3 linked regions of the Nothobranchius furzeri genome follow. The protein of the gene in region 3 purifies or fractionates together with the protein of the main gene of each other region. This does not show direct contact. Links are inferred from orthologs where the notes say so. Each region holds a gene or a part of one and is shown on either strand. Other genes may lie near its edges.

Region 1 (7,731 bases), on a different chromosome or scaffold from region 3:
CACAAAAACAGCGGAGTGCCGCTGCTCGCCGGCTGACTACAACGGGACCGTTTTTGCTGCGGAGTTCATGCCGGAGCGGAGCGGAGTGGAGATAGTGGAATCTTGGGGGTGCGTCATCGGAGGTCAACAGCTGATGCGCCTCGCTCCGCAGCAACAAAGCGCATCAGGCACAAATAACAGACAGAAAACATGAAAGGAAATGAGCCGACATGAACGATCGCGTGTTTAATTTGTTTTTGAGGTGGTGACACCTGATTTGGCGGTGCTCAGGACGCAATGTCTAGAGCGCACGTCAACGATCAGAGCTTTGCATGCGCAAACTGGTTAAGATTAGGATGGGGGTGAGGGGAAGGTTAAATTGCAAGAGGGAAAACATCACAGTTTGGTTAAATGTCCGTTTTACCGCCGGTGTCAGTACCGCACAGCGCGTCGCCTCCGCCTCGATCCAGACGCGCAGGGGCTCATCACCTGCTGTCTTTTCCGAGGACTGCATCTTGTCAGTCATTATCACGTGACAGCGACTAGTTGATGACAGGCATAAAAAGTCACTACAGAGCCGTGAAGTCGACTAGTCGACTAGTTCGTACAACCCCTACCCTACGGTAGTTTTTAATCACACCAAACAGGGTCAAAAGCTACAATAAGAGGTCTTTTTTATATTTGCATTTGCTATATTATAAATACTCAATGCTGGAGAAAGAAAAACTGAACAAAAGCTCTTATAGGAAACCGATTCAGCAATTTAGAGCCAATGAGAATTTTGAAGGTTATTTTTAGACAGATGACTGTTTTGAGTTGTTATATTTAGAAGTACATTCCCAGTATAGTCTATCCTCCTCCGCTGAGGTGGAAACATAGGAATAGAAATAAGGAGAAGGAAGATGGAGGGACAGGGAAAGGGAAGAGGCTCGAGGCAGGACATGAAGCTTCATCTGGCCTGACGAAGATGGCAGCAAACACAGGAAACACACACAGCCACAGAATGCAGGAATACATATGATTGTGAGTGAGAGTGAGCACTTGAAGACAAATATCTCAGTATTCCAACATATTTCTACATAGCAATCCCAAACATTGTTTAAAAAATGCCCCAAATCTTGCACAAAATACATATAATTGTAGATAATGACATTAAAATATGAATGTTTATCCTCAAAGTGTTTAGATGGTTTTAAATCCATATAAACTGTACGAAAAACAATGTTCCTTTATCCTTTTGGAAGAAAATACTGTTGTTGAGGTGCAGACTGTGGGTTTGTACGTTACTGTCCCCCTGTGGCAGGTTTAGGTACACACTCAATGATCACATGGTTAAGCACGTCTCTAATTGTTTAAAACTAATCAGTCAACACATTCAGGCATTTAGACGTGGTGAAGATGACTTCAAATTAGTTATTGCAAAGCTACAGGAAAGAGATTTAAGGAACTTTGGACTTGGCATGGGTTTTGGTCCGACTATTCCTGAAACTGCTTATTTTCTGGGATTTTCACCCACAACCATGTCTAGTCTTCTTATCATGGTTGTGCTGCAGTGATGCTATCATGTCATCATGGACCAAAACCCCTGTTCTACCCCAAATCTAAGTAGAAGAAACGGCCAACACAAGCCCTTTCCACAGATGTCCAACAGGACACCCTAGTGGTCCTTACACACAAGCAGGGTTTAATAAATCCAGCATGTTTTAGCATGTTCCTTCTACCTGTCCTCCTTTTGGTTGATGTTTGATGTTGGCCGTGGACCCAATCTTGGACTTCACATTCTTCAGGTCAGGCAGGGGCTGGTTGAGGACCTTTAGCTGCCGCTGGATGGAGGACGGGGACTTGGGCGGAGTTCTGATCACCGCCACCTTCTTCTCCTGGAGGACGCTGAAGGATTTCGGGGTGTGGCTACCAGGGGTGCGAGATCCAGGGGTACGGCAAGAGTAGCTGGGGGGCGTGCCGGGTGTCACGGCTGAGCCTGGAGTGGAGGCGCCGCTACGGACTGACCTGGAACGGGTTGAGTCTGTGCCTTGGAAGAGAAACGAACATTAAAGAGAATGAAGATGGAAAATGTTTGTAATCAAGTTCAATTCTTGTGATGATGGATGGAAGGAGAAAGTTGTAGTTTTAATGCCATTCAGCTTGGGCCCATGACAATCAGTTAGAACAATTCATTAATTAGTAAGGAATAATTTTATTTTTGAGTTTTGAACCTGCAACCTTCTAGCTGCAAGACAACAGTGCTAACAACTGCATCACCATGCAGTCAATAGTCACATACCAAGTTGAACTCTAACCAAACACGTTTGTAACCATCAACAATCTTCTGTCGTACTTCTGGTTGACATTGGACCAACCTACTTGACAGAATTGGTAGTTTGTTGAAACTTTTTGGTTTCCTGGGAAAGACTTGTCATTGATAAACAAGTAGGGCCAATGGGAAGGTCATTACAGATGCCTCATGTTAGCTTTGTGTAAACTATTCCTGATGTTCAGCAACACTGTCCTCTCAGAACAACGTGTTCATTAGCCTGGCAAGCCATCATTCATAGACAGACAGAATAGATAGACAGAATAGATAGACAGATCGATCGATAGATCGATAGATAGATCGATAGATCGATAGATAGATAGATAGATAGATAGATAGATAGATAGATAAACAACATTAGGCAGGTGCATACATTTGGCCACTGTTGGAATTCTACATTGGTTTGGAAAGCTCAGTGACCCTTGACCTAGGTGAATCCAGTTATGAGAGAGTATTTAAGGGGGCCAATTGTAAATTTCCCTCCTCTTTGAATATTCTCTGAAGAGCAGCAACGCGGGGGTCTCAAAACAACTCTCACATGAGCTGAAAACAAAGATGGTTCTCCATCATGGTTTAGGGGAAGGATACAGAAAGTTGTTTCAGAGATTTCTGGTGTCTGTTTCCACAGTTAGGAACATACCGAGGAAATGGAAGACCACTGGCACAGTTCTAGTTAAGACTCAAAGTGGCAGAACAAGAAAAATCTCAGATAAACAGAAGTGAAGAATGGAGAACAATCAGAGTCAACCCACACACCAGCACCAAAGACCTACAAAATCATCTTGCTGCAGATGGAGTCACTGTCCATCATTCAACTATTCAGTCCACTTTACACAAGGAGATGCTGTATGTGAGAATGATGCAGAGGAAGCGTTTTCTCCTCCCACAGCACAAACAGAGCCGCTAAAGCACATCTGAACAGCTTCATTTGGAACAAGGTGCTGAGGACTGATGAAACTAAAACCGAGTTATTTGGGCGTAACAAGGGGAGTTATGCATGGAGGAAAAAGAGCACAGCATTGCAAGAAAAACACCTGCTACCTACAGTAAAGCATGGTGGTGGTCCCATCATGCTGTGGGCTGTGTGGCCAGTGCAGGGACTGGGAACCTTGTTAAAGTTGAGGGATGCATGGATTCCACTCAATATCAGCAGATTCTGCAGACCAATGTCGAGGAATCAGTGACAAAGCTGAAGCTGCAGCGGGGCTGGATCTTTCAACAAGACAACGACCCTAAACGCTGCTCAACATCTACGGCATTCATGCAGAGGAACAAGTAGAATGTTCTGGAATGACCATCTCAGTCCCCAGACCTGAATATTAGTGAATATCTGTGGTGCGAGTTAAAGAGAGCTGTCCATGCTGGAAGCCATCAAACCTGAATGAACTAATGTTTGAGAGCTACTGCTGCTATCCTCTGTCCTTGAGCTTTTACTTCAGCTACGGTCAGTCTAGATTTCTAGGCTAGTATCTGATGGTTTCAGGAGAAGAATTTGGAGGTGATCCTCCTTCAGTCCACTTTATCCAACTGCAGTATGATGCTACCACCACTCGACAATTGGTTCAGTCCTCACCTTGACTCCTACAAACATATTTCTTCTCATTGTAGAAAAATATTTGTCTTGTCTGACCATAAAACATTTCACCAGAAGAAATCTGTTAAGCTTATTTTTGGTGATGTAAAACTTTTCACTCTGGACACTCATTTTTAATAGTGGGCTAAAGCGCTAAACACCAGTCACCATTTTCTAGGTCCAAACATCTTCTGTTGTCCGTGACTTCAAACGGAGTTTTCTTTAGGGACTCTAGTAGTTTGTCCTAAAGTTGAACTGGTAGCAGCCGGCTGTTTCTCCTTCTCTGATATTACTGAGCGGAGAACCTCTCACACCAGTGGTGATCCGTTGCTACATGCACGAGCGCGTGAGAAGAGTAAATGTGGTAAATGCGGAAGTGTTGTCTTGAACTTGTTAAGACCTTCTAGAAATATCAGATTTTTGGGGAATTCATGTCTTTATGAATAATTTTGACGTGTTTAATTCTTGTTTTTGAAAATAATTTAAGTTGTGTGTTAAGACAATCATTCCTCCTTAAAAATGGACACTCAATAACATTTGAGTCTACAATGAGTGGATGTAAACTTCTGACCTCGGCTGTATGTGCGGCTCAACTGTGATCGAATGAGCTCAAGTTTCAAATCTCAAACAGCCCAGACCAAACACGAATGTTTGACAATAAGTGTGAGAGCACACACGGCTCTGGCAGCTTGTTGCTGGGTTACTAAAGCAAGAACCAATAGGGTTTTAAATGCTGGATGAGAAACGCACCTGGTGTTTTTACACCAACCTGCTGTTTAGCTGCAAGAATCAGTTTATTAACACAAACTAGGGATGCACCGATACTGATACCAATGCAGCTGCCTGAAAGTGGCTTCACTGTAACTTGTAATTTCTGTTCACCTACGATTTTAGTTTTGTGATTATTTCTATTATTATATTTAATTTTTATCAGCCTTGCAGTCTTTTCCTGTTATTATTGAAAATAAAACTTGTATTCTAATTCACTGCATTTTTGGTGTGTGTTAGAAGTATCGTTGTTGGTAATCAGTACGGCGAGTACTCGGATCCAAGTATCAGTTTGGAAAAAAAGTGGTATCACTGCATCCCTAACACAAACCTTTCTTTCTGACTGGATGACTGAATCTGAGAATGTACACTTGATTCTAAAACCGGCAGCTTCTCCTGATGAAACAGCGGTTGACTTGATGCTGATGATGATAAGAGAGTGATGAGGCTAAGCTATCAGGTGGTCTACCTGCCATACTAGGGGCCCTTCCAGACCTGCTCTCCCTGGAGTCGGTTCGGATCGCTTCGAAAAGTAGGAGGGAAAAGAACAAGAAGGTTGAAGAGGAACGAGGGCAGGAGTTTAGACTTTATTCAGATGTAACGCAGTTATTAATAAACAAAAGTAGATTGTATCTTACAGGTTGGCCTAGAGGGGGTGCTGTTGTCTTCTTGTTCAGAAGCAGGAATGTGGCGAGTCAGCGACTTGGCCGGCCTGGGAAGGGATGACCTCTTCTCAGGGCTGCGGTACGTTCGCTCCTGAATCAACAAACAAGAGTCAGTATCTTCGTGGCAGCTAAAGCTACATCTCAGTTCCTTTTGCCCCTCGTTAATTTACCTTCCCCGCCACTTTGTTTGGCAGAGGGGACGGGAGGGAACATGCAGAGGAGGAGCGGGCTTCGTAAAGCTCCGCCTCCACGAGAGGGCTTTGTTTAAGGACACAGGCAAAGCCGGGCCGAGGGGATGGGTGATGGGACCCCCCGACGCGCTGCGCGGCCATCTTTAATAGAACAGCCCTTGTAGGGCTCTGGATGACCGATGGGATGAAGAGGTGATGGCAAAATGAAACAAGAAATGAAAATATTTCATGAAGAAACACAAACTATGCAAATGAGTCTTGAATTAGGGAAATAAAATGAAGAGGATTTTTGAAGTTTGGGTACAGCAAAGTCTGTACTCACAGATTTTCTCTGTCGCGTCTGAGATAAAGAGATGGAGTGCATGCAAAACAAAATGATGACACCAAGACAAAGAAAGAAAGAAAATACAAATATGGGCAAACATAATTCAAGGGTCAATATAATCATGCAAGGAAGTCAAAGAAAGAAATAGATGAGTTGAAAATTATGAAGACACTGCAAAACTTTATGTGTTCCATTAATGTAATATTTCCCTAAAATAAACCCACTCAAGCACACAACCAATTTCTCCTCCTTAACCTGTTTTTTTTTTTACTTTTTTTAAAGACTGGACTAATTTTAATGACACTTCATGAGGTCAAAATAAAAAATATTTTTTTTACTTCAATCAAGGGAATTAAGTATGTTTGAGACGATGCTGTTGTGATTTAATTGCCCCCAAAACACACATTTGACATTAGTTAAATTAGCCGAACAAGAAGACTTAAAAGTCTTTTAAAGAGGTTGTATACTTACAGTGGGCCTCTCTCTGGACACACTGAGCGGCTGATGGTGGTCCACACCTGAGAGGTAAAAAGAAGCATGTCAATATCAACCAGCAGGGGGAGACATGTACTGGAGTAACACATGCACATAAACAGAGTACACATAATGAATTGAGAAAGGAAGAAAGAAAAAAAATAGAAGGCCAAGAATTTGTTTCACAGTGTGCAAGAAGTTGAAATCCATAAAGATATACAGTTTCACGCCTTAAATATCAACAATTAGCAAAGAAAAGCAAAACTGAGCATAATAGAATATGAATGTGGGCAATTTTTTCACCAACAAGACCAAAATGACAGCAGCTGAGTTGAAAATGTACACGTTTTTAAAAATGGATTGGCAGCACGAGATGTTTGCCAGCTACAATGCACTTTTCTTGATTCCTCCATGAGCCAAAAACTAAAGAGAGATCAACAATTCAGAATTCAAATCCAATTTTTTCTAGAAATTTGCATCTATTTTAACAAACTGAGTTGTAGAGACACTGCAGAACTTTTAACAAAAATCACTGAGGATCTCTCTCTATTTGTGGCATTGATGCATGGTGAAAAGTGTTCACCTGTGGGCTTGCGTCTAACAGTGACGTGAAGCGGAGCAGGCCTAGGATGTTTGGCCGTCACTTTGGCTCCACTTTTTCGAGAAGGAGAGCGACTTTGGAGGGCTGACACCTTATTCTGGTCAGCCCTCCTCACACCTACTAGCAAAGGGAAGAGACAGGATTAGACAGACCTGTGCTCAACAAGTTTGCTCATGGAACAACAATGTTATCGAGTCCCTTTACGAAATATTGGAATAGTTCTTTGAATACAGAATCAGAACCTTTTTTCTTTATTTTCTCCTCCATTGGTGGATGGTGGATTGGAGTTTTGCATGACACTTTACAATCAGCAGTGCCAGGGTGACGCCGTCCTTTGGTAGGACCTCGTTTCGAAGGTCGCTCCACCACCAAAGACGGTTTAGTCTGGGTCAGAGGAAGGGCCTCGATTTGCTCAGTCATGATACTTTTATCCTCATCTGTATCAGAGAGGGTATAAAAAAGGACTGATTCTCTAAACTAGCAGGATGCTAGCTTTAGCCAAGACACATTTACCAGGATTTTACCAAAATACAGAAGTAATGTATATCAAAATTCTGGGTACCTTGTGAGTCCATCCAGCCACTGTCAGTATCTAGGATTGACACATCCATTGTAGTTTCATCAGCTGCCTTTTCCCCAATTAATTCATTTTCTTTCTTCTCTTCTGCTTCACCAGAGACTTCTTTCTTCACAGTCTTTGTTGGATCCATTACTTCTTCATTCTCTTCCATTCCTTCCACATTGCCTAACTCTATGCCTTCTTTTTTATCCTGGTCCATGTCTTCGGTTTCTAGTGCATCCTCTGAATGCTGCAGTAAATCATGGTCAGAACATGGAGACAAGT
Region 2 (7,831 bases), on a different chromosome or scaffold from region 3:
CCCACTGTGGAATTAATAAACTCTATTCTATCTGAATGTCCTTCCCATCAAATCATTTCTGCATCTCATATAATTAAAAACACTCTGTATTACAACGCAGGTAAAACAGCGACATCAGAAATATGGTTAACACATTCACTTACAGGTGGAAGGGACTCGTACACCTCCGCGGGGTCTAGTCCCCCAGGACCCATGCGTTTCTGTCGTTCTTCTTCTTCATACTCTTTAATGGCCTTTTCGATGCGGATCTTGGCTCTTCCACGGACTCGCTCCTTGAATGACTCCAGCTCATCGTTGAAAGCATCCTGGTACTGCTGGTCTGCTGTCTGGGTGAATAAACATACAAGAAAAGTAACATGAAAGCACTTCCAACATGGAGTGTTTTCAGAAACTTCATCAAAACAAACAAGAATAGATATAATTTTACTTTTTAAAAAAGTATCCCCTTAAAAACGTATGTAATACAAAAGTCCAAACACGTAATAATTACCTTGATCTTTGCAAAAAACTGGCGAAAGCAACCACGGGGGTCCAGTTTGAGGCTTTTGGCCAACTCAAGAATGAACTGCATAACGATGGTCTGATGAGCCACCTGTTCCATCAGAGCATGTTTCTGCAAAACGAAGAGGCACAGAGGCTCATGTTCTAATCAGACAGTGACCATGTAAGACATACAATAGTAGCACGAGATTTCTTTTAAGCTGTTTACCTCCTCAACTTCAAGGTCAATACACATGATGACAAGGTAGTTGGCAGTTTCTTCACATACAAGATGAGGATTGTCAGAGAGGTACTTCTGGCTGTCATCCCAGCGTCGCAGCATGCCTGAGGTTACCACAGCGACAAATCAGCATCTCTATTTTTACTGTCCTACTGATTTGCTCATTTTAATCATGGTTGTCAGGCGGGCTTACCAAAATGTTTGAGCTGCTTTTCGTTCTTCTCCACAAAAGTTTTATGTTTTTGCTCCTTCTCCTCTTCTGTCTCTTCAGAAGGGTCTGGTTTGACGTTAACAATGCTCTAATGAAGACAAACAAAACACCGTTAATAGATGACGACTGCATTCAAATGCATTTTATTGCATCGTTCTGTAAGTTAACGGCATGTTAGAATGTTGTATATAAGCTCTAAATATTCAAAAATAACACACTTCATATAAACCTTGATTATGTTTATTTACAATTAAAGGATGATTTTAGTTTGTATTTTCAGGAGATTGTATACAAGCTACTCCCAACAAAAAAATGACCAACATTCATGCTGAGCATCAAACTAGACTGATTTTAAACATGAAATTGGGGGAAAAAAATATTGCCATCAAACCGCTGAGACAACTATTGATTATAAATTGACAGGTCTGCCAACATTGATACCAGTGGATGCAAACCAATACTTTCTATTTCGCAGTAAGCTGTTGCCTGATCCTAGTCACCTTGCTGAAACCATCTCTGCTGAGTGTGTCCACGTTCCACGGCATCTTCTTCTCCTCTCTGTTGTATTCATCCAACTTCCTCTCCCAATCTCTCTCCTCCTTTTTCAATTTCTTCTCCTCAGCCTGGACTTTGCTCAGCTCTGCTTTGGCCTCACCCGACACATTTAGCTCTTGCAGTTTCTTTTGCGTCTCAGTCAGCTTGCGCCGACATTCTTTCAGGCTCTTGTTGATGTCTTCTCCTTTTTTCTGGAACTCTTCCATTCGATCCACACGTGCCTGAAATGGGATGATGCCAATCACAACTGGAGGTACAAAACTTTTACAATACACTTTGTTACAAGTTTTGTAGGCTTAGTAATTCACTACAGCTACATAAACAGGTTTGCTAGGAATTAGCATAGGGAGAATGTTGTTTGCAACACCAAACTGAGTCTAGGACGCCAGCTAACCAAAGTACCAGTCCGAAGTTAAAAGAAAATCAAAACTCAGTCACGTTATAAATCAAAAAGGTACCTGGTGTCTCCATCTGAAGAGGCTGGGTGTGTCAATGTTTGGGTGGGTATCATCTTCATCGTCCGAGACCTCAATGTGATCCCACACGCTGTAATCTATCCTGGACATCCTGTAAACCAGAACCTAGCTTGTTTTAAGAGTTCGATAATTTCAATTAAAACTCTCGGAAAAACAAATTCAACAACACTCTGACGCTTTCCAAAGTCTCCGAAAGATGTGTTAACTACCAACGGCGCATTAGACTGTAGTCTTATCAGAAGGGAAGGAGCTGGACTGTCTCAGCGACAGTTAGCCAAATGCTGCTACAAAATTCTAGAAAGATTCGCTGCTGCAAGCTTCCGCTACACGCCTAAACGTCATGACGTAAAAGGCACGTATGACGCAGGTGTTGTGGTAAAAAATGCACTCGTATGTGCCTGCGACCGTATGTTAAACTTACTAGAAAAACCAAGTTTTTCACAAACGCACCCCGTTAATAAACAAGTAAAGATGTATGAGTTAAAGTTCGGTTTCGAACAAAGTCTGTTTGACACAAATGCCTATACGAACAGAGGGGCTTTTTCCGGCACAACACCATGAGTTACAAAAGTGAACTGAACAGATTTCCTTCATTTCTTTCTTCGTATTTTTACTGTAGTTACTCAGATTTCTAAACAACCGAAATATCGTTTCCACTATATAGATACCATTTGTGTAGCCTACATAAAAACCATAATGTCTGATCGTGTACCAATCCATCCTTATCCTCATATTATTGCATATAGTTAAACCTGGTTAGCAGCAGATTAGTCAGAATGTTAGTCTGTTGTACAGATTATAAAAGTATTTACATCACAACTATTTTTGTAGTTTCTTTACAAGACGTGACTTCTTTTTCTCCACATTTGTGCTTTGACTTTCTTTTATTTATTAACTTATTATTGTATGCTAAACTGAAAGTACTATAAAATATCAAGTATCTTACACAATTATTTTTCAGCTAATCTAAACATTTCTGTAAAACTTAAAAAAGCAAACTGTTTTTCTCTACCGAATAAAACTATCTTCTTGGACTTTTCCCCCTTGTCAAACATCCACAGACTGAGGCTGTTTTCTCAGCGAGACATCTTACCTTCTTTACTGGACCAAGAACAGAGGCTGAGAGGTCTTGATGATGGTATAGTGTTCAGCTTTTTTTTTTTTTTTTTTTTTCATTTTATTTTTTGTTATTCTTTGGATGGAAAAACCACAAGTAAATGTTTAGATATAAACTAGCAAACGCTTCTCAAGAAACAATAATTAGAGCTGACCCTGAAAGCTGACTGGAGATCCAAACAAGCCAGTATTCAGTATGGCGTCTTAACCAGTGATCATCCAAATACCAAAAATCTGATTGATTTTTCATTAAACATAAACAGCCCAAAATAGTAGTATCAGCTCAGCAGGTCAGGGTTGAAAAAGAAATCTGCATGTTGGCCCTTAAATCCAGAATCAGCTCATCTCTGGAATTGTTAAATTTTCTCTTGTTTCGTTTGCTTTCAGCCCTTCATCCACCCAACATGGACATTCTTATAAGTGCCAGTAAGCATTTTGTTGGACACATTCAATTAGAATAAATCTAAATGATTTCAAGAGTTTGAAACTGGTAATCTCAATGTTTGCACTGTGAAGATGGAACCTCGACGTGATCAATAATTTATTAATGGATGACTTTTGCAATGAATTTTAGTATTTTGTTAGCAATGGTCAGTTTTAAAATAGTATGTGTAATAATAATAGAATAATTGCTCTCTTTATCAATCTGTTTAGGAAGCTTCTAAAGAAGTAATGACTGAAGGATGAAAGTTGGTGTTAGGATGGTGTAATATGGAACATATTATTGCCACACATGAGATTGTTTTTAGAAATTAAATGTTTCTGAAAATACTTACAGTGTGTTCTATATGTGCATTACTCACAAGCATGATGATAAAAAAACCTATTTTTACAGACCTGAACAGGGACATGAAAACACACACAAATAGACAAAAATATAGATCAGTTAAATGTTTTACCTGGTGATCGTGAATCGTCACGTTTACATTAACCCAGAGCTCTGAGCAGAATAAACACGAGGAGAGCTGGGACCACTTTAATATAAATATCAGGAGTTTAGTTTGGGTCTGCCACCAGAATCACAGTCAAGATGTCTACTATCAGTCTTTTAATGTATTTGTTTCTGTAAGCAAGCATATTTATAACAGTCTCACGCATGGACGTAATTTTCACTTTAGAAGTGGGGGGGACACGGGTGTGTGTGTGTGTGGGGGGGGGGGGGGGTATCTTTACAGTATGCTCTAATGGGAAACAGGCTTCAACACAAACAGTTGTTTTCCACTTGGTCCTAGAGCTCAACCAGTGTGAATTTAATATAGCGTAAAATTGTTTTTGGATGGTAAAAAGTGCAGGGGTCAAAACTTGACTTTGGAAAAAGTGGGGGGGACATGTCCCCCTGACCCCCCCCCCCCCCCCCCCCAAAATTACGTCCATGGTCTCACGTGATCTTCAGCTCACTGGCATGCAAAGATTCGATCATTTTAACACGATCAGAGGGCGGTGGACATAACCTGGTTGTAGTTAATCACACTGCCAGGGAGGAGTGTTATCTTAAAGCTTTACACGTTTACACGTCCAGTGTTAAGTTTAGTGTGTACTTTTATGATAATTATTATGATACATGTAATAATGAATACATTCCAACGGTAAATGCCAAACACACTGACATTTGATTGAGATGTTTTTATGCGTTGCTCTTGTTCCCCGTTGGTTTGGACTCCCTAAACCCGGAGCAGCAGATGGATTTCCCGGCCTGAGCTTCACAGCACCGCCGCATCTCTCGGATCACATTCTCACACAAACTCTCCGAGTAGTTGTTGGCTGCAGGAGTGGAACGGAGTTATGTGACTGTGGGGTTCGCCCGCTGTCTAGCAGCATTTTCATCTACATTTAATGTACCTTGCAGACACTTTTGAATAGCACATGCCTGTTTTTGACACGGATCTTTCTCCGGCATGCCTGAAAGAAAACGCAGCAATAGTGTAATCAAATTTTAAAGCATCAGGATACCCAAAAGGAGCTAAAAGCCGATTCCCACCTGGACGTCTTAGCTAGTGCGATGCATTCTCCTCTCGCGAGAGTGATCATGTGACGCAACGAGATCTAATCAAATCCGGACAATGAACAACAGCGACCTCTGGTGTTGCAAAGGAATTTGACAACGTCGCCTTGAAAACCTAAATGTAATTCCAAAATGTTTTGCAGTAACCGAACATAAAATGTATTTATAGAATAATTTTGAATATTTTTTTCATTAACTAACCTTCAGAAAGTATAAATTTACATTTTAAAGAAGCCATAATCTTTTGGTGGGAGGTATTTTTCACAAGTACGGAAATTTTGTTTATTTATTTACATTACTCAGAACTGGCACTAATAACTATCAAAATACACGTTTAAAAATCAAACCATAAAAAGAATTTTTTGTTTATTTAACTTTATTTATAAAGATAAGAACATTTAGAAACAGTTCATATTTACAGTAACTTCACATTGTTAGTCATTGGCGTATCAAGGGTAGTTATACTTTGTCAAATTATGATTTTCTTTACTTATTAGATCATTAAAAATATTCTAGTACATATATAATAAGGGAAATTTTATTACATAAAACAACAACAGTAGACTACGACAAAAATCAACCTTCACATAATAAATGGCGTTTGCTAAACATCTTCATTTGTCTTCTTTGTGAGATCTAACTCTGTATGATAACAGAATACATCAAAACATCCACTGATTACTGAATGCTTCCATCTCATGAGGCAGCAGCAATAAAACCTGCTCAGTGAAATTCTTCCAGCTGATTCAAGTCCTGTTAGTGGGCCTTAAACACCTGAACAACAGAAAACAAATTAGGATGCAGAGTTTTACTTGCAGATGTAGTTCCTCATACTTCCCCTTTACCTTTGGTCTTTGCTTTGACAATGAACTGTTTGCTCTTCTTTTCCAGCGTGTTTGAGGCAGCACAGGTGTATGTCCCAGGGAGAAGGGAGGAGGAGGTGATGACTGCTTCCTCCTTCACCCGCTCCTCTATGGGATGGGAGGATTGCCAGCTGTAGGCAGGAGCAGGGTTTCCTGCAGCTGTGCAGTTTAGGGTGATCCCATCACCCTCGGTAAGTTCTAAAACTTCTGTTTCAGGACTGAAAAAAGTTGGGGGAACTAAAAAAAAAAAAGAATGACAGACTTTACGTTTCATTATTGGGACATTTTAGGAGTGAAAGTAGCTTCATAACTCACAGAGGACATAGGCAGTGAGAGGTTCTGAAGACACTGTTGGAGGTGGTTGAGGTCCTTCTGGTCCAAGCTCCAGTTCTGCTACACACTTATACTCTGCCTCGTTCTCAGCTTTGGTTGGTGTGATGACAAGAGTAGAAGACACTTGGACAGGAGAGGAAGATGTGAGGTCAGAGAAGGAGTGTTTGTACACCTCTGTCTGACCTCTGTACCACCTCAGGGTGAGATACTGAACAGGAGCAACGTTCTGAACCTCACAGAGGAGCTGGTACTCCTTCCCCTCCATCATGGGGCCGGTGTGGTTCACCAACCTGATGGAAACACTGTCGGGAGATTCTGAAATGAAGGGGATCAAAAGTTCAGCTCAAACATTCAGCTCTGTCATGAAATTTAAAAATGAGAGGGACTGACTCACTATAGAGAACGAGGTTGAGTTTCTCCTCACACTGTCTCGGAGCTTTGAAAAACACCCCATAGCAGATGGGTTCCTCGATCCAGTCGATAAGACTGTCCACTTTCCACTGGACAGACTGGTCCTCCTGTGTGTGTGGCGTTCCGATGGCCGATTCCCAGCCCAGGACCCGAACCGGGCGTGTAGCTTCACAGCTGACCGACACCGACTCCCCAAACCCCACCACCACCCTGGAGGGCTTGAGAATGAGGGAGCAACCTTCACCTGACACTGAGGCACACGGGGACTCGTGAGCAAGGATTGGTATGGCTAAGCCAGTCAGAGATGCAATAAAACAACTTTTCACTGTTCAGATCAAGCCTGTTCAGTAGCAAAATGACTCATAACCAAACATGTTATGGTGTTCAGATTTTAATCCACAACATGCTAAAATAATCTAAAGTACTTCCCTCTGAAGTTGCAGCTCATTATGGATCCTTTAGTCCACAGATCAGTTTAAAAGTTTCTGAACCCAAATAAATAAAACACCTCATCTTACCTGAACAAAGCAGGCAGGAAATGATAATCCACGCTAGAACGTTCTTTCCCATGGTATTTGTTTAGCACCGAGCCGTCGAAAGAAAGAAAATTCCAACTTGAACAACCTTGGCAACTCTGCAGGGAACGTGGAACAAAACACGGTTCCCTCCCAGCTGACTTAGGGGATGGAGGGGAGGACTGGGAAAGAGGGACATTTAACACAGCCCATTACTTCCCCTTCTGAGATGTTTAGGGATTAAATCAAAAGCTTATAATCGCCTCTGCAAATTTACAACTAGAATATCTGAGATCTTACAGAAAAATCAGCAAACGCTTTGAATATAAGCCGTTGGGATTAACAGAACTCCAGCTTAATGTAAATCTGAATTCCTGACATTCATGTCAAGTAGATTCTTGCCATCAAGGTGGTTTTTATAAAAGCTGGACGACAGACTGGATCTCTTTGCTTTGCAGCTTGTTTCATCCTGCCTCTGGCCTCCACGCTGCTGGACCCCAGCAGGCTGGAGCGCTGCTCTGGTGCTGCATGCAGCTTGTGAGGCTCACACTGTGACCAGAATGCAGCACAGCGCATCGCCTCAGGCCACAACAGTCGCACAAGAAGGCGAGAAATCACATGCTTTTTT
Region 3 (7,831 bases):
CTTTGGAAGTGAAGCAAAGAGCTAAAACCATAGTGAACATTGGCGCTGCCTAGTTTGAGGGAGCTAAAGGATGCTATGAAATCATGGGCTGATGGTGACCTGGCATTGCTATAATAATAATAATAATAATTAGGGATGGAAAATATATCGGCAACATTATCGGTATCGGCCGATGTTAGTCATTTTTTAACATATCGGTATTGGTCCAATAAATAAAAACGGGCTGATATTAACGGATATTTTTTCCATCTCATCTCCAGTTTATCTGTTTCAGAGGGTAAGGGGGGTGATGTGTATTTGTTTAGTCATGTGATAGTGAATGTAATCATCTCAGAAATGTAAACGTGTGTGGTGTGTGTGTACATAATAACGTAAATTCAGCTTTAATAATTTTTATTCTAAATTCAGCTTGAATAATTTTTATGCTATACAAAATCTGCTGATTTTGGAAGCATTAATGTCAGTATATCGGTATCGGCAAATATTGGTTATCGGCCATAACAGTGATCTCAATATTGGATATTGGTATCGGCTCCAAAATTTCATATCAGTGCATCAATAATAATAATAATAATAATAATAATAATGTTTGTCCAACAATGTAGATGCTTTTAATTCATGGCTTATTTAGTAAGCCTTGGCTCATGTTAGTGTTAGCTCATTGTTAGCGTTAGCTACTGCAGGGTTGTTTATGACAGTTGTAATTCCACTTTGAACCAATAGGGCAGAGAAGCTGGAAACTGTTTGGTGTTACGTTAACAGACAAAGTTGGAGGAAAACCATATTTATTTAAGTTAGCAACATTTAGCTTTTTGTGCGTCACAGTTCTACAACTGTAGCAGAAATCTCCTTCAATTTCACACTCACCTGTGCAGGATTCTCCCACTTTTTGAGGAAGTCCTCTTTGGCTTTAGCAAGGAATTCCTTGACTGTTGAATTAAAAAAAAGGGAAAAGCACAAAATTCATAAGAAAAAAATTTGATGTTTGCAGATTGAGTAACTAAACATAACACCCAAAACATTGTAAGATACCACCCCTGATTTGTCCGTAAAATTTTTATCTAGAAGAGCAGTTTTCAAATGATGATTTCATTTGTTTAGAGAAAAAAAGCTATTCAAACCAGCCTGGTCCTTTGTGCAAAATTAATCTTCCCTCTTGTTAAATCACGAATTTATTGAGTTTAGTTTACCAAGCCACACTCAGACCTGATTACTATCAGATATGTAGATTTAAATCTCTTATTCACTCCTTATTTCGATACACTGTGGTCTCTGGTATAAATAACACAAGCTTGAAGGAGTTCTGCTATGTTGTTGAGTTGCTAATGCTAACCATAGACAGGAATACGTAGAATCCCCTTTTGGCTACTGGAGAGTGCTACAGCGTTGCCGCCATATTGGATGGGAGGTTCTTACTCTACGAAACCAATTGGGAGTCAATGCATAGCAACTATGCCCATTTTTTTGTACAGGCTATGGTTGCAACAACTGGCGAACTATTGAAAACAGATCACATAGGAACTTTCTGGGACTTTTCTAGCCTACAAGTGTTGGAGTTATACATTTTTATTTGTTTTATGTCATTATATTTATTTTTTAACTACTACACCATACTATATATCTGGAATGGAGACCCGTCCAAGATGGCGGCCGGCCATTACAGCAGCTTCAATAGGCAGCGCCAGTTCACAGGGCGTCTACGTACAGTGGGTACGGAAAATATTCAGACCCCCCATCGATTTTTCACTCTTTGTTATATTGCAGTCATAAAATTCATTTTTTCCTCACTAATGTCCACCCATATTGACAGAAAAACACAGAATTTTAGAAATGTCTGCAGAGTTAATAAAAAACACGAACTGAAATATCACATGGTTCTACGTATTCAGACTGAGACTAAATCAACAACAGCCTTCCCCGTCAGGACCCAAGATGAGTGAGTCCATGAATGCTAGTTTACAGTGTGACGTAAATCTATGTGACTCTTTCTAACCCAAGTGGTTCCCATCTGTTTTCTATCGGTAGCTAATGTCGGAAACAGTGGTAGAAAACTATTTTCACGTCCAGCATGCATGTGAAAGTCAGAATGTCAAATCGTATTTCAAAAACATTGAGCAATAAATGGGTTCTCAGTGAACCTGCTTTTTAGGAAAATTCTTACTTTCAGACAAAAGAAAGTTGACTGAAGGATCTCAAAAAGCAACATAACCTGCCCTGTTTTAAAGAAAATATAACACAAAACAGCATCTAAAACACTACAGGCCTGGCTTGGTTAAGGTCAAAATTCATAATTCAACATAAGAAAAAGCTGAAAAAAAAATTGCATTATGAGAGTTCAAATGAAGGCAACTGGACTTCTTTGGTTTCTTGAAGATGTTTCGCTTCTCATCCGATGAACTTTGTCAATTCTAACTGGACTTTCGGAGAGTCAAGCTTATAACCCAACAGACATACCATATGTAGGCCCCCCTTGGATTGGTGCTGTCTTTATGGTGTCTAAAGCTTAGGGCACACCGGAGACAGACGCGCCACATCGCGGCTGCGCTATCATTTTAAATGGAGGCCATTATAGAAGAGGATAGGAAAAATGGTTAAGGGAGCTTCGAATCCTTCTTTCAGTAGGAAAGAACAACCATGAATCTTGCCATGTGGTAAATAGCAGCTACACGGGGGGGGGGGGGGGGGGGGGGGACGTCCGATTTGTAATTGTAATTACAAATTTTTACAAACTCATACGTTTCAAAATTTGACAGGTGTGATCGAAACACACATCTTTACTTTTCATTTAAATTGAAGTGCAACATGTGTGCAATTCAGGGCGTCAGGCAAAGCAGATTAAAAAATAGCTTTTTTAGCCCCATTGACTGAAAATGGAGATTAGTGGTGCGTTCCAGTTGTCGTCAGAACTCGTTTTTCTGAGGTAAGTTAACCGGAAATGACGCATTAAACTCAGAATTCTGAGCTGCGAGCTGGTAGGTTTCAGAGGACCCAAGATCACAAATTTTAAGATGTCCAGTGCTACCAGGAAGTAGTTTTCAGCTTTATTTTTTTCTCATTTATATGTTCTGTTTTTTTTTTTTACAGAACCGAGTAGTTGTTTATTGTTGTTATCAATTGTTATGTCGTTAAAAATTTCAACATTTCTGCCTAAATTGACCGGTGTCACTTTTCCTGGCGTTTCTACATCTTATTTGTAATGTTTTTCAGGTTGTATGTGGCAACTGTCGATGGGGGTGTGTGTCACTATTATTTAGGTGCACAGAATACTTGGTAAGTTCTTTTGTTGAAGTTCTTTTAGTACTCAACAACACTGGTGGTGTCCATTATTTTGTGTTGGAAGCCTGAATGCACGCTGTTACACTCCCCAGAGCCCAATGGGTCATCTAAGTATTCATGTTTATAGTTCCAAGGCCAGAACCTCAGCAGATTAAAAAAAGAACACAACTAAGACCCATCTCACATTTGCCAAAGGCATCATGATCTCCCGGGCTTTTGGCAAAATATTTTGTGGACTGACCAAATGAAATTCAAACTTTATGGAAGGTGTGCAACCCATTAAATCTGGTGTAAAATTAAATGTCAGTGAAAGAGCATCATGGTCAACCATGGTGGTGGTAGTGTGATGTTTAGGGCTTCGCTGCTTCAGCACCTGGACCACTTGCTGCAACGGATGCAAACATGAATTCTATCAGAAAATCTTGAAGGAGTTTGTAGCCTTTGACCTTAAAGCTGCATCAGCTGTTGTCACCAAAGGTGTTATCCCCAATTAAACAGTTTTCACATTAGCCTGGCCTGCCAGACTCATCCTCTGTTTAATTCTACACAGAGAACTTCCCATAAGGAAGCATGCGGCTGGCTGCAGGCTATTTTCACATAGAGCCAGACAATTTCCCCCCACCTTGATGAATTAAATCAGATACTGAAATTAGCAGAGTCTGAAACATCTAAATTTGACCCCAAAAGCAAAGACTGTAGAAATCTGTAAAGAGGTAAATACTTTTTCCCAGCCCCACACATCGTCTATCAAATTAGTCAAAGTAAATCCAGTTTTATTTAGTAACAGGATTGCTGTAAACGTGAGTAAAACTTACAGCACAACAACACACAAGAATAACATCCAAAGCAGCGATTCTGAGCCAAAATATTCACGCTTCATATTGAAGAATGTATATTTTTCATGTTTCCAATGTGCAGGTTGTTTTTACTGCGCCCTGAGGTACAAAGGTTGTGGTTCTTAATGAAAAGTCACGTAATGTCAACCTAAAATGTAGATTTATAAAACACAATCGCTTTGATTGCCATCGCTTTCTCATCAGTAGGCTTCCATACTTTTGTTTATTTGATAGACCAAATTATATCCCTTAGCCAATCAACACTAAATGCCCCCCCCCCCCCCCCCCCCCATGTTTGCAAGAAGTCTTGACAATACATCCCTCCAAAGAGCAACAGGCACAGAGTGTTCAGGAAATATCTGACACATAGTTTGTTGCAGTCTTGCCAAGATCCGAGTACAAGAGGAAGTGAGGATGCCAATATTACTGCAGCTTAAGAGTGGTTGTTTTGCAGTTAATTCTAGCTTTGCATCCTCAGTTAAATGCCCTGTAGCAGGAAATCTTGAGTTTTATTTAGAGATCTCAATAACATATTTGAAATGATGAAGAACTTGCAGCCATCGCTGCTGGTATGGGGTTCATGTCAAATAACATCCTAATTCGCTTGTAAGGAGGACATCATGTGGATGGTATTAAATGAAAGCATCGTGAGGAAAGGCCGCTGTGTTGCAGGTTTTGTAAAGCTAACATCGCCTGCCGTGTCACGTTGTCTCTGATCATCTCGTGAGGATGTAACGGATCAGGATACCCACCGCTTTCCATCTCGCTGCCCTTTCTTGCCGTGGGCGCGTTGCCCATGATGACAACCTGTCAACAGGCAATCCGCGGCGTTCCGGCCGCCCTGCAGCCTCCTCAAGTCGGTCAAATCTCGATCTGGACGGTGTTTTCCTGAATCCAGCAGCAGCACGGAGCGTTCACTCCGAGGTCTTGCTCTTTAGTAGCCTGACAGCTGCTAATGCGGCGCCACGTTAGATAAGCGGGTTCGCTCCCTCCCACGGTCACCCGCAGCCGCTGGCCAGCATCGGATTTAAATCCACGTTGAGCTGGGGCTTCGCCGGAGCTTCAGGGTTGAGCTCGGAGGCAGCTGGCCTGGACACGGAGGATACAGTCTCCACCTGACCCTCCTTGCAGCCCCCGCCGAACGGAGCTCCCCTCCCCGGCTCTCCACCACCTCTCCCAGCCTATAAAAACAACAATACCAGCGGAGAGGGAGCAATGTTCTCAATCGAAAGCGTCTCGCTTGTTGTCAATAAAACCAGCTTAGCAAAATTTTAGCCTCAGCGGGGTCCGACAACGACAGGTATTCACCCAAATCAACATCGGGCCCCCGTAGCCTCGGAGACCAGCGAGATGACGGAACTACAGCGGAGCGAACGTCCCGCCTACTTGCTTAAACCAGCGTTGAATGACAGCTCGTGCTTACGTCGATGATTGGCCACTTTATCAGAGCGGTGACCAACAGTTTACTGTGATTGGCCAACTGCAGCCGTCAATCAACAACAGCAGCTTCCCACCGCCCAACACAACGCGAATGAGGGCAACGTCACAGAATATTTTCCTCCCGACAACGACTCCGCCCACTTTTTGTGATCCGGCCCTTCTATTGGCTAGATACGGACGGACCGTGGGAATCTCAGCGAACACGAGGACGCCCATTGGCTGTCACCAGTGATTGACATAAATACCCTCCTCCTCTACTTCGCTCTTTCCCGCTGCTGAGCGACTGTTACACGTTTGGCTGAGTGACGTCAACCGTGAGTCTATTTTTAGAAATGTTGGTCAGAATTTAACGCACGCGCGGCGCAGTGTGGCAGCAAAGACATCTAAACATTTCGCAGGCTATTCTGTGAGAAATGAACACAAATAAACAAGATTTTAAAAACTGGTGTTTCATCTTCATCACCCCGCAGCAGCTGGACTAGAGAGCAGCGGACCAGGGGTCCTTTTATCATCAGCATCATCAAAAGCTCCGATTCGCAGATTTGCATTAGAATGCCCCTTTGATTTAACGTAAGCTTGTGTTGGTAGGAAAAAATAAATCAAATCTATAAATAGATCTCATAGCATCCTCATCACTTTGACTCTGAAGCCACATTTTTTACAGCACAACCAATTAACCAGCTATATTCTTTTCCACATTTGATCTCAGGTGCTGTAAAACCATGCCAAATGACTGTCAACGTTAGGCAAAAGTGGCAGCTCTTCAAATTAAATAAAGATGCAACAAGCAGATGTTTGGCAATATTTACCAGATCGATTTGCAGCTGATCAGCTTATTTTTAGCTCTTAAACCCTGCTGCATGTTTACATAATGCTGCATTCGGAGTGCATCCAATTCTGATTGCTGCTGTTTCGGTTGTTTTAAACAGGGCAGATGTGAGAAGCAGACAGAGGTAACAGATGGATTGAAGGGGGAGTTACTCACTGATCGGTATAAAATGGTCGAGAGCAGACACACCCCTCCCTTCTCTCTTTTTTGCAGCAGTTGCCTGGCAACATGAGGCTAGAGTGGAGATAGAGTGATGCTGCTGCATTTTATGAATGAAATTGGAAAAAAGAAGGTGGTGGGGGGGGGGGGGGGGGGGAGTAGTGGGTTGATGCGCACCAACACGTGCCCCGAGTCTTCCCTGTTTGTCACAGATTTTTTTTCTCCACACAAGTCTGAAATCAGACCAAGTGAGCATTAGAAATCAGAGCAAAATCAACAAAACCAAACTTTATTAACCTTGTTGCTTGTGCACAGTAAAAGGCAGAGGATATATGAGAAGTACAAAGTGAAACGTCTGCTTTTGAAGACAAAGCGGGTCATAGGAATACATTTACAGTAAAAAAGCCCTTCAATGACAGCAAACACACCCCGAACCCAAGTTCTGATCGTTTCCCTTGAAAAGATGCATCAATCGAAGATTTGGGTTTAATACGGTACGTGATGTAGAAAAGTCCCAAACAAAGCCCGTCACTTTGTGGATTTACTCTGCAATACCAGTCAAACAAATGAACAAAAGATTTCTAGAGTTGCACCAACTCAGATTTTGTGTTAATAATTATTGTGAAACTTTTACCAGCTGATCCCCGATTCTGAATCATCCACAACAAATAACATTAGGAAAATACATGAATTAATCACTTCAAATGCTTAGAAAACTTTCCAAAGATTGGTTTCTGAATTATTTTATCATTTGCTAAACCTATTCACACTGAACACTGTAACAGAATTTGAAACTGAGAACATAATAAAAAAATAATAAAATAATCACTAGACATTCGGCTCATATGCCTCATGGCTGTGGCGAGCCTGTTGGCAACTTAAAACTTCTCAAGATGAACCTTTTTGATTATTTAAGGCAGATCTGAACGAGCACACAAGGAAGCAAAGCTGGCAATTATTCCGTTCTCACCTGAAGAGCCAAATACAAATAATGTCCACGCTGCAATACTGAAAATTCTCTTTAATGTCCACATTTCACTAAAAGAACCATCCATGGCCTTTGGTTGAAATGTGTGGTTGCGAGGTGGCTGAGTACTTGTTGGGAAGAGCTTCTTGTCCATCATAGGAATCTTTAGACCCTTACATGCAGTCCATGGAGTTGTCCGGCATCTGTGCCAGAGGGGGCATCTTTCCCGGTATACAGGATGGCGGGAGCATGCCACTGGTGTTAGATGGGTCAACATTCTCACAGTCCTCCATCTTATCTGCCATGCCCTCCCAGTTAATGTGG

Evidence for each region.
Region 1: the proteins of prkacab (region 3) and microtubule-associated protein 2 purify together in Homo sapiens (affinity purification with mass spectrometry; 3 studies listed by BioGRID and IntAct, with this or other methods). This does not show direct contact. The link is inferred for Nothobranchius furzeri from reciprocal best matches to the Homo sapiens genes PRKACA and MAP2.
Region 2: the proteins of prkacab (region 3) and cdc37 purify together in Homo sapiens (affinity purification with mass spectrometry; 3 studies listed by BioGRID, with this or other methods). This does not show direct contact. The link is inferred for Nothobranchius furzeri from reciprocal best matches to the Homo sapiens genes PRKACA and CDC37.

The regions. Positions count from the first base shown.
Region 1 is NC_091742.1:61,552,751-61,560,481, forward strand, and holds part of microtubule-associated protein 2, read right to left. Parts: coding exon 7,450-7,731; intron 7,325-7,449; coding exon 7,130-7,324; intron 7,008-7,129; coding exon 6,870-7,007; intron 6,331-6,869; coding exon 6,284-6,330; intron 5,388-6,283; coding exon 5,270-5,387; intron 5,155-5,269; coding exon 5,101-5,154; intron 2,009-5,100; coding exon 1,701-2,008; intron 1-1,700. UniProt on the Homo sapiens protein: The exact function of MAP2 is unknown but MAPs may stabilize the microtubules against depolymerization. They also seem to have a stiffening effect on microtubules.
Region 2 is NC_091745.1:3,427,347-3,435,177, reverse strand, and holds the start of cdc37 (hsp90 co-chaperone Cdc37), read right to left. Parts: upstream 4,704-7,831; 5' UTR 4,689-4,703; coding exon 4,687-4,688; exon of another isoform or gene 4,681-4,686; intron 3,917-4,680; exon of another isoform or gene 3,856-3,916; intron 2,297-3,855; exon of another isoform or gene 2,055-2,296; coding exon 1,946-2,054; intron 1,709-1,945; coding exon 1,433-1,708; intron 1,021-1,432; coding exon 915-1,020; intron 826-914; coding exon 710-825; intron 614-709; coding exon 491-613; intron 327-490; coding exon 144-326; intron 1-143. Other genes in the region: cmc4 (cx9C motif-containing protein 4), read right to left, coding at 4,704-4,840, 4,919-4,976; uncharacterized protein, read right to left, coding at 5,848-5,855, 5,927-6,181, 6,260-6,592, 6,672-6,938, 7,207-7,263, 7,313-7,385, 7,642-7,831. UniProt on the Homo sapiens protein: Co-chaperone that binds to numerous kinases and promotes their interaction with the Hsp90 complex, resulting in stabilization and promotion of their activity. Inhibits HSP90AA1 ATPase activity.
Region 3 is NC_091744.1:6,141,209-6,149,039, forward strand, and holds the start of prkacab (cAMP-dependent protein kinase catalytic subunit alpha), read right to left. Parts: upstream 5,135-7,831; 5' UTR 4,911-5,134; coding exon 4,865-4,910; intron 930-4,864; coding exon 868-929; intron 1-867. Other genes in the region: asf1bb (histone chaperone asf1b-B), read right to left, coding at 7,681-7,831.